Linked DNA regions of Canis lupus familiaris. Each later gene encodes a partner of the first gene's protein in a complex. Links are inferred from orthologs where the notes say so. Each region holds a gene or a part of one and is shown on either strand. Other genes may lie near its edges. The genes, in order: HDAC3 and GPS2.

Region 1 (3,799 bases):
TTTTGGCATGTGTACTTAAGTACCTAGAAGCTGCCTACTTTTCTCCCCAACCAGGATACAAACTCCCTGACAGAATTTAATGCTTTTTTACTTCCCATCCGATGCCTTACATAGGTCTTGGTACCTGGTCTGGATATCTGTTGAATAAATTTGCAGATAACTCAGGCATATAGGGGCTGGGGAGAAGTTTATTGAAGAATGGGGGTTAGAGGAGTTTGGGGTCAGGGGAGAGGTGTAGGAAGGGCCTAGAGAGAGGTAAAGGGCTCTGACTTACTTCTCTTTCCTGCAGCCCAGTGTTTCCCGGGCTCTTCGAGTTCTGTTCTCGTTACACAGGCGCATCTCTGCAAGGAGCAACCCAGCTGAACAACAAGGTGCCTGTGGCCCTGAGTCCTGTTCTCCCTTTCCTATGGGCCCTTCCAGCTCAAGGCCTTAACCCTGACCCTGAGCTTCCAGCTTTGGGGGTGGGCAAGTAGGACTATGAGCTCGGTGTTTGTTTTTCAGATCTGTGATATTGCCATTAACTGGGCTGGTGGTCTCCACCATGCCAAGAAGTTTGAGGTGAGTGAAGAGGTGATGGGGGAGACAATGAGTGCCCTAGCATAGGTGGTCGGGATGACATCAGGGGCAGCTGGGTAGAGGAATTGTTACTCTCTTCGTAAGACCACTGTCTCACCATAGGCCTCTGGCTTCTGCTATGTCAATGACATTGTGATTGGCATCTTGGAGCTGCTCAAGTAAGTAGCCTGGGAGGAGATGGAGGGATATGAGACCCATGGCCGAGGAGTTCTATTACACTATGCTGGCCCTGACCCTTTCCTCTGCCCCTACACTAGCTTCTTCATAGTTTTTAGTGCTTTACTCAGACTACCTATTCCCTGCTCTGCTGCAGACTCCCTGCTGCCCACTCACATTTCAGTCTTCTCTGCACATCCCTCTCCTGTCCCTGCCTCCAGGCAAGAGTCCCAGCGTTGCCTATAGGGAACTGGTATTAGGTTTCAGGTGATTTGGGCTTAAGTAGAATCTTCGTAATTCCAGATCTTGTTTTGGGAGGTGTGAATTGGGGGTGTTCTTGCTGGGGTTCCCTTCTACCTCAGACCCTGGCTTGGCTCTCATTCCAGGTACCACCCTCGGGTGCTCTACATTGATATTGACATCCACCATGGTGATGGAGTTCAGGAAGCGTTCTACCTCACTGACCGGGTCATGACAGTTTCTTTCCACAAATACGGAAACTACTTCTTTCCTGGCACAGGTATGGGAATAAGGATGATCATCCCCTTCACACCCTCAACTCTTTACCGTGATAGCCTCCTGCTCAGCCTTCAGGTCTTGGCTCAGGTGACTTCTCAGAGAAGTGTGTCCTCACCACCACAGTTAGAGTAATCCCTCCTTCCCCATTACTACCCCATGTCACTGCTTGCTTCTCTCAGAGCACTCATTGCTGCTTGTATTTATTGCAGTGTTTTGTTTTGTTTACTGTCTTGTTTCATCATGCCCACCCCCCAAGAATATAAGCTTGGTGGGATTTCATTAATTTCATCCATTCTCTCTATTGCTATATCCCCAGTATCTACTGCACAGGTTGGCTCATGGTAGGCCCTCAAAGATTATTTGTTGAATGAATGTAAGCCACAAGAGAGTAAATGTCTATAGGGAACATGCAGTGGAGGTACATAGATATAGTGAGAGGCCCTCAGTGTACAGATTGAAGTTAAGGCAGCTGCGTTGTGGGTACTTCCTGTGTATGGCTCCTACCCCCTCCTCCCACCTCCCTATAGGTGATATGTATGAAGTTGGAGCAGAGAGTGGCCGTTACTACTGTCTCAATGTGCCCTTGCGGGATGGCATTGATGACCAGAGTAAGTATTGAAGTCTTTTCCCTGCTTACTAGGCCCCTTCTTCCTCTCTTTAAATTAACCTCTTCTGCCTGGTATTGTCTACTGTTGGGCCAGGTGTCCTTAAGGATGAATGGCCTTCAGAGGGACCATTAACCACCCCTCCCTCCCCCGGAAATTGTATGCAACATATTAGGTGTATGTGCATTTTTCTGGGAAAAGGGTCATTGGCTTTCATTAGTCACTCAGAATGCTCTGGGACCCCATCCAAAAGTTGAGAACCATTGATTTGGTTCTTTGGGTTGCCCCTTTCCCTGGGCTACATGCTCGCTCAACCCCTTTTTTCCTTTTGTTCCCTGTCTCCCCATCCCCTTGGGGTGCCAGGTACCCACCTTTGGCCCTCTCTCAGGTTACAAGCACCTTTTCCAGCCAGTTATCAACCAGGTGGTGGACTTCTACCAACCCACGTGCATTGTGCTCCAGGTAATACTCTAGGTGCCTCCTCAAGAGGGTTCTGCTTGGGCTTAGGGGAAGAGAGCAGGGAGGAGGATAGCCCTTGTGTTTATTGGGGAAGTGAAGTGAAGGACATCTGGGACATTCTGGTCAGTTATCCCCCTGCAGCTGCCTGGGGTTTTGCTTTTTTGCAGTGTGGAGCGGACTCTCTGGGCTGTGACCGTTTGGGCTGCTTCAACCTCAGCATTCGAGGACATGGGTGAGACTTGCCCTCCATCTCTGCCCCCAGGTTTTCAAAGTGGCTTTGGGTCTCAGTACATGGAGTAGGTAGGGGTAGTTGGTGAATGGGCCATAGGAAGAATAAGAGAGTCACTCTCAGGCAGAGAGACACTGAGACATGGGAGAGCTGGTGTAGCTGAGGATGTGAAGTAAAAGCAGTCAGACAAGAACACATGTCAAACCATCTCCGCAAGCTGGAGGTGTGGTAAGGTTGGCCTAAGAAGTTGGCAGTGGTAAGATTGTGCAGAGCCGTTAGACCCTGGTGAGAATTCTGGATTGCATTTCAGATATGATGGGAAACTGTTGGAAGATGTTAAACAGGGAAGTGACATGATCCAATTCATGTTTTAAAGCTACTGCTTGGGGCATCCCTGGGTGGCTCAGTGGTTTAGTGCCTGCCTTCAGCCCAGGTGTGATCCTGGGGTCCCGGGATCAAGTCCCACATTGGGCTCCCTGCATGGAGCCTGCTTCTCCCTCTGCCTGTGTCTTTGCCTCTCTCTATTTCTCTCTCCCTGTGTCTCTCATGAATAAATAAATAAAATCTTTAAGAAAAAAAATAAAGCTACTGCTCTGATTGGTGAATGGAGGAAGGTTTAGGGTAGGGGTAGGGGACAGGAGTGAAAATGAGAAGGCCAGTTAGGAATCCCTTGGTGTTGTCCAGGCAGCAGATGTGGTACCTGGGCTTAGGTGGAGATGGCCAATGAGAAGTAGGTGATTTGAGTTATATTTTAGAGGCTGGAGCTGACAGCACTTGCTGGTGCTTTGATGAGAATAGTTGGTTAACAAATGAGATGCCAGGATGGGTATTGAGCAGGAGGGAGGTGGGAAGGTCCTCATTTCAATTTTTACTGAGACACAACATACATATATATATATTTTTTTTTCTTGCTCCACACGCAGGACTTTATTTGGACTGGGGCCGTCACAGGCCTACATACATATATTAAAGTACACATATCTCAAGGGTACAACTCAGTGAATTTCACTACCTAGATCAAGATACGGAATCTTTTCTAGTTCCCTTGTGCCCTTTCCAGGCAATACCTAGAGAGCTATACTTTGGCTTTTGATAACTTCCTCCAGCCATTCCTTTGGTTCCTTTTAACAGAGAATGTGTCGAATATGTCAAGAGCTTCAATATCCCTCTACTGGTGCTAGGTGGTGGTGGCTATACTGTCCGAAATGTTGCCCGCTGCTGGTGAGTATGCTTCCTGATTTTTCTCTTCTTTCTT
Region 2 (4,575 bases), on another chromosome or scaffold:
CCACAGAACCTTTACTGGTCGAGGGGAGGATCTTTGTCCAGTCTGCCCGGTCTACACCCTAGGGTGAATCCCCGCCTGGAAGCTGGAACGATGACTAAGAAGTGGCACATGGCATATCACGGGAGCAACGTGGCAGCCATCCGGAGGGTGCTAGACCGAGGAGAGCTGGGAGCAGGTCCGGGGGCAGGGGCAGAGAAGGGGCAAGCCAGGCCTGGGCCAGGAGGCTCTCCCTGCAGGCACCGCCTCCATCCTGACTGGCTCTCCCCGCAGGCACCGCCTCCATCCTGAGCTGCCGGCCCTTGAAAGGCAAGCCTGGGGTGGGGTTTGAGGAGCCTGGCGAGAACTGCGCCCCACCCCGGGAGGAGCAGCCCCCTTCCGTCTTGCTGTCCCCCTCCCTCCAGTATGCTGGGGCCGAGACCCTAGCGTCCAAAGTGCAGTGAGTACATGGGGGCTGGGACTGGGGTCTCCATGGCTTCCCATTGGTGTCCCCGCTGTGACACTTGGGTCTTGTCTCACTCTAGCACATTTACTGTTGAAGGTGACTAGTACTGTGGAAATAAAAGTAGAGTGGGACGCAGTGGGTCCCAGGTGTGCTTTGCACAGGTACAGGCACACAGTAGTCAGGGTAGACATGGCGACGAAGGTTAGGTTTGGGCAGAGGCCTGCAGAGGGAAGCCAGGGAGCGCCCTGGAGAGACCCCAGCAAGCAGGGGTGCGGCCAGAGCCAAGCCACCTCTCTCTGGGAGGTGGGAGTGACCCCCCCCCTCCCCCCCCCCCCGCAGGCAGCCGAGGGAGGAGCCTGGAGGCCTCACGGCTGGCCTTCTTCTTGCCCTGCAGATTCCGGGATCCCAAGTCCCAGCGAACGCACCAGGCCCAGGTGGCGTTCCAGGTGTGCGTGCGCCCGGGCTCCTACACCCCCGGACCCCCTTCGGCCACCCTCCGAGAACCTCCCGACCCTCACTTCAGCCCCGCAGAACTCGAGTGGATAACCAAGGAGAAGGGGGCCACACTCCTCTATGCCCTGCTGGTGCGGGTGGAGTGAGGGCTGGCCTCTGGACGACAAGCACAGTGGGGCCCCCCCGGCCCTGGCTTAGCATCCCCTGCCGCGGCGGGTGCTCCCCGAGCCCCCGGAGCCCCCAGAGCCCGACGCATCTCTGGAGCAGGAACGCATCTCCGCGTGCAGGGCCCACGCCTCCCACTCGGGGCCGGCAGTCTCCCCTCATGCACTGACTCGGGGAACACGACTCCCTGGACTCCCTCCCCCGGATCACTTAATTTATTTCCGTTTTCGTTCCTGTTACTGTGAATCCCGAGGAGCCTCCCCGGGCCGCCGGGCGGAGTGGGGGCGGGCGCGGGGAAGGTGGGCCTCTGTACAGTTGTTACGGACGCGGGTTTCCAAGGAGCCAATAAACGCTGTCCCAGAGCGCGCGCCTCGGCCTCTTTCTCATTCATCCCCCTCTCGCACCGCCCCCCGACGAGCCCCAGGGCTGCCCAGCTGGGGGCGCCCGGCGCGCCGACGGAGTTTGGCCCCCCGCGGCACCCGTCGCAGCCGCTTCCGCCCTTCCCTGCGCCCGTCCCGCGAGGCCGCCGGCCGCCCCGGCTCCGGAAGGACTCGGCCCGGCAGCCGGATGTGACGCGCGGCCGAGGCGCACAGGAGCCGCGGAGAAAGCGCAGCGAAGGCGGGTAGGGAGGGGCGGGCGGCGCCGAGGCCGGAGACCCCAGCCCGCCGGCGCACGCGGAGCACAGGGGCACCCGGAGCACCCGGGACCGGCCGGGCGGCGGAGGGTGGGCGCCGGGCACGTGACCGGGGCGGCGGCGGCAGGCGGGCTTCCGCCTCGGCCCGCGGGCGCGACCCTCCTAAGCGCCCGCTTCTCGGCAGGCCCGGCCCAAGGTCTGGCAGTCCGTGACAGAGCCGGGCGCCCACGGCCCGAGCGTCCCCCGTGGCACCATGCCCGCGCTCCTGGAGCGCCCCAAGCTTTCCAACGCCATGGCCCGGGCGTTGCACCGGCACATCATGATGGAGCGGGAGCGCAAGCGGCAGGGTGAGCCCGGCCGAGGGGGAGGACCCCCAAGCCCCGCACCATGGGCACAGCGCCGCGCCGCGGCCGCGCGGGAGGAGGGTGGGACGGCCCGCCACTGGTGGAGGGAGCTGCAGGCCGGGTCCGGGCTCCAGAAGACTCGGGCCGGGAAGGACCTTGGAGAGCACCTGACATACCCTCCCTCCCAGTCCCCTGGGAGGAGAGGAGCAGAGGGAGCACTGGCACCGGCAGGTTTCCCCGCTTCTCCATCTCTAACGTCCTAGTGTTTTAACCACCCTGCGTTCTTCCCATTGCACCTGGTTCTTTCTCCAGAGGAAGAAGAGGTAGACAAGATGATGGAACAGAAGATGAAGGAAGAGCAAGAGAGGAGGAAGAAAAAGGAGATGGAGGAGAGAATGTCACTAGAGGAGACCAAGGAACAAGTAAGCAGCCCCCTGCTCTGTCCCAGCTTTTTCCTCCTTTGGCTCTCCTGCCGTCAGCTCCTCTCCCCTGCCTTCTCAGATCCTGAAGTTGCAGGAGAAGCTGTTGGCCCTTCAGGAAGAGAAGCACCAGCTCTTCCTGCAGCTCAAGAAAGTTTTACATGAAGAAGAGAAACGGAGGCGAAAGGAGCAGAGGTGGGATTGGAGAGCTAAAAATAAAATTGAGACAGTAACTGGGATGGGTAACACCAGATGGGTGTCTGATGGCAAAAGAGGGGGCACTTGTCTTCATTCTTGGTTTTGACCTGCCTGCCTTTCACTGCAGTGACCTGACCACTTTGACTTCAGCTGCGTACCAGCAGAGCCTGACCGTCCACACTGGGACTCACCTCCTCAGCATGCAGGGTGAGGAATGAAGAACCCGCTTGTTAGAATGCACCCTCCCGGGGGTTGCAGCCACCCCACTGCAGCCTCATGAAGCCCGTCTCCCTGTCTAGGGAGCCCTGGAGGACACAACCGCCCAGGCACCCTCATGGCGGCTGACAGGGCCAAACAGATGTTCGGACCCCAAGTGCTTACAGTAAGGAGTAGCATTGGGTGTGTAGCCCGCCATTTCCATGCAGACACGGGCACCCGCATTAAACAAGTATTCAAGTCACCAATGTTGTCCAGCACTTGACCAAATGGTGGAAAATTGGGCACATACAAGGCGCTTGGGGTTCTGCTTTGGAGGAGTTTCCAGCAGCAGCCAGCGCTCCTCTTCCTTCCTCAGACGCGACACTATGTGGGCTCTGCAGCTGCCTTCCCCGGGACCCCGGAGCATGGCCAGTTCCAAGGCAGCCCCGGCAGTGCCTATGGGACCGCGCAGCCCCCGCCTCACTACGGACCCACGCAGCCGGCCTATAGCCCCAGTCAGCAGCTCAGAGGTGAGCCGTGGGTTGGGAGGGGGGCGCTTCCTCCAAGACCCAGAGGCCGCTGGTCCCAGGCAGGCCCGAAGGAGGCTCGACAGGCTGTGCCTCCTGCCTCCCTCAGCACCTTCGGCGTTCCCAGCAGTGCAGTACCTGTCGCAGCCGCAGCCACAGCCCTACACGGTGCACGGCCACTTTCAGCCCACCCAGACAGGTGAGGATGCCCCCGCCAGGGCCCCAGGGCTGAGCGTCCTCCCCGCCTCCGCGTTCCACACACCCATCCTTCCCTTTGTAGGCTTCCTCCAGCCTGGCGGTGCCCTGTCCTTACAGAAGCAGATGGAGCACGCTAACCAGCAGACCAGCTTCTCAGACTCTGTGAGTACAGAGCCTGGGCAGGGCAGGGGCAGTGCTGGGCCCAGGGGTGCCCCAGGCCGCCTCGGACCCTGACTCTCTTCTCCGTAGTCCTCCCTGCGCCCCATGCACCCACAGGCTCTGCATCCAGCCCCTGGGCTCCTCGCCTCTCCTCAGCTCCCGGTGCAGATGCAGCCAGCAGGAAAGGTAAGGCCAGGGGTCGGACCCGGCTGGGGCCCTACCCTTCCAGGGGGAAAACCAGATTGTGTAGGAGAGGCGGCGCCCACCCCTCCTCTCCCATTTCCTCCTGGGGTGGGGATGGCTGGGAGTTCGGGTGTAGATTGAGGGGCAGGGTACACACCAACGAAGTCCCCCCACTTCTGCCACCAGTCGGGCTTCGCAGCCACCAGCCAGCCTGGCCCTCGTCTCCCCTTCATCCAGCACAGCCAGAATCCACGATTCTACCACAAGTGATCATCAGATTTTATCTTCAGCCTCAGCCACAGCCCCTGACGTGGGTGAGGGAACTTGGTGTCCCAGTCTAATAAAATTTACCTGCCTCTGCCCCTCTGCTGCTGTGTGCATCACCTCCCTCCCGGGCTGGGCCAGGGCTGTGTGGAGGGTGAGGAGTGACAGGCAACTAACAGGTGAAGCTGGGTGGGTGGGTAAGAGGGAACTCTTTGGCATAGTTGTTTATGTGTAATTTCTAAGTTGACTTTCTAGTCAGCAAATACCCATTTAATTCAAAGAAGCAACTGAGTTGGGGCCTTCATATTAAACTTGTAGTTTTATTCAGGTTTGATTTTAACAAATGTGTCGGGGAGAGAGCCCACAGGAAAGGGTAAAGCCCATGGGGGCA

Evidence for each region.
Region 2: HDAC3 (region 1) and GPS2 share a complex: the UniProt entries of both Homo sapiens proteins name them as parts of the N-Cor repressor complex. The link is inferred for Canis lupus familiaris from reciprocal best matches to the Homo sapiens genes HDAC3 and GPS2.

The regions. Positions count from the first base shown.
Region 1 is NC_049223.1:35,735,342-35,739,140, reverse strand, and holds part of HDAC3 (histone deacetylase 3), read left to right. Parts: intron 1-289; coding exon 290-371; intron 372-501; coding exon 502-558; intron 559-678; coding exon 679-734; intron 735-1,118; coding exon 1,119-1,252; intron 1,253-1,778; coding exon 1,779-1,859; intron 1,860-2,244; coding exon 2,245-2,318; intron 2,319-2,482; coding exon 2,483-2,547; intron 2,548-3,461; exon of another isoform or gene 3,462-3,675; coding exon 3,676-3,765; exon of another isoform or gene 3,766-3,799. UniProt on the Homo sapiens protein: Histone deacetylase that catalyzes the deacetylation of lysine residues on the N-terminal part of the core histones (H2A, H2B, H3 and H4), and some other non-histone substrates.
Region 2 is NC_049226.1:32,479,207-32,483,781, reverse strand, and holds GPS2 (G protein pathway suppressor 2), read left to right. Parts: upstream 1-1,563; 5' UTR 1,564-1,682; intron 1,683-1,878; 5' UTR 1,879-1,947; coding exon 1,948-2,041; intron 2,042-2,350; coding exon 2,351-2,460; intron 2,461-2,539; coding exon 2,540-2,652; intron 2,653-2,782; coding exon 2,783-2,862; intron 2,863-2,954; coding exon 2,955-3,037; intron 3,038-3,229; coding exon 3,230-3,383; intron 3,384-3,489; coding exon 3,490-3,579; intron 3,580-3,660; coding exon 3,661-3,740; intron 3,741-3,827; coding exon 3,828-3,923; intron 3,924-4,106; coding exon 4,107-4,190; 3' UTR 4,191-4,282; downstream 4,283-4,575. Other genes in the region: NEURL4 (neuralized-like protein 4), read left to right, coding at 63-175, 271-436, 837-1,041. UniProt on the Homo sapiens protein: Key regulator of inflammation, lipid metabolism and mitochondrion homeostasis that acts by inhibiting the activity of the ubiquitin-conjugating enzyme UBE2N/Ubc13, thereby inhibiting 'Lys-63'-linked ubiquitination.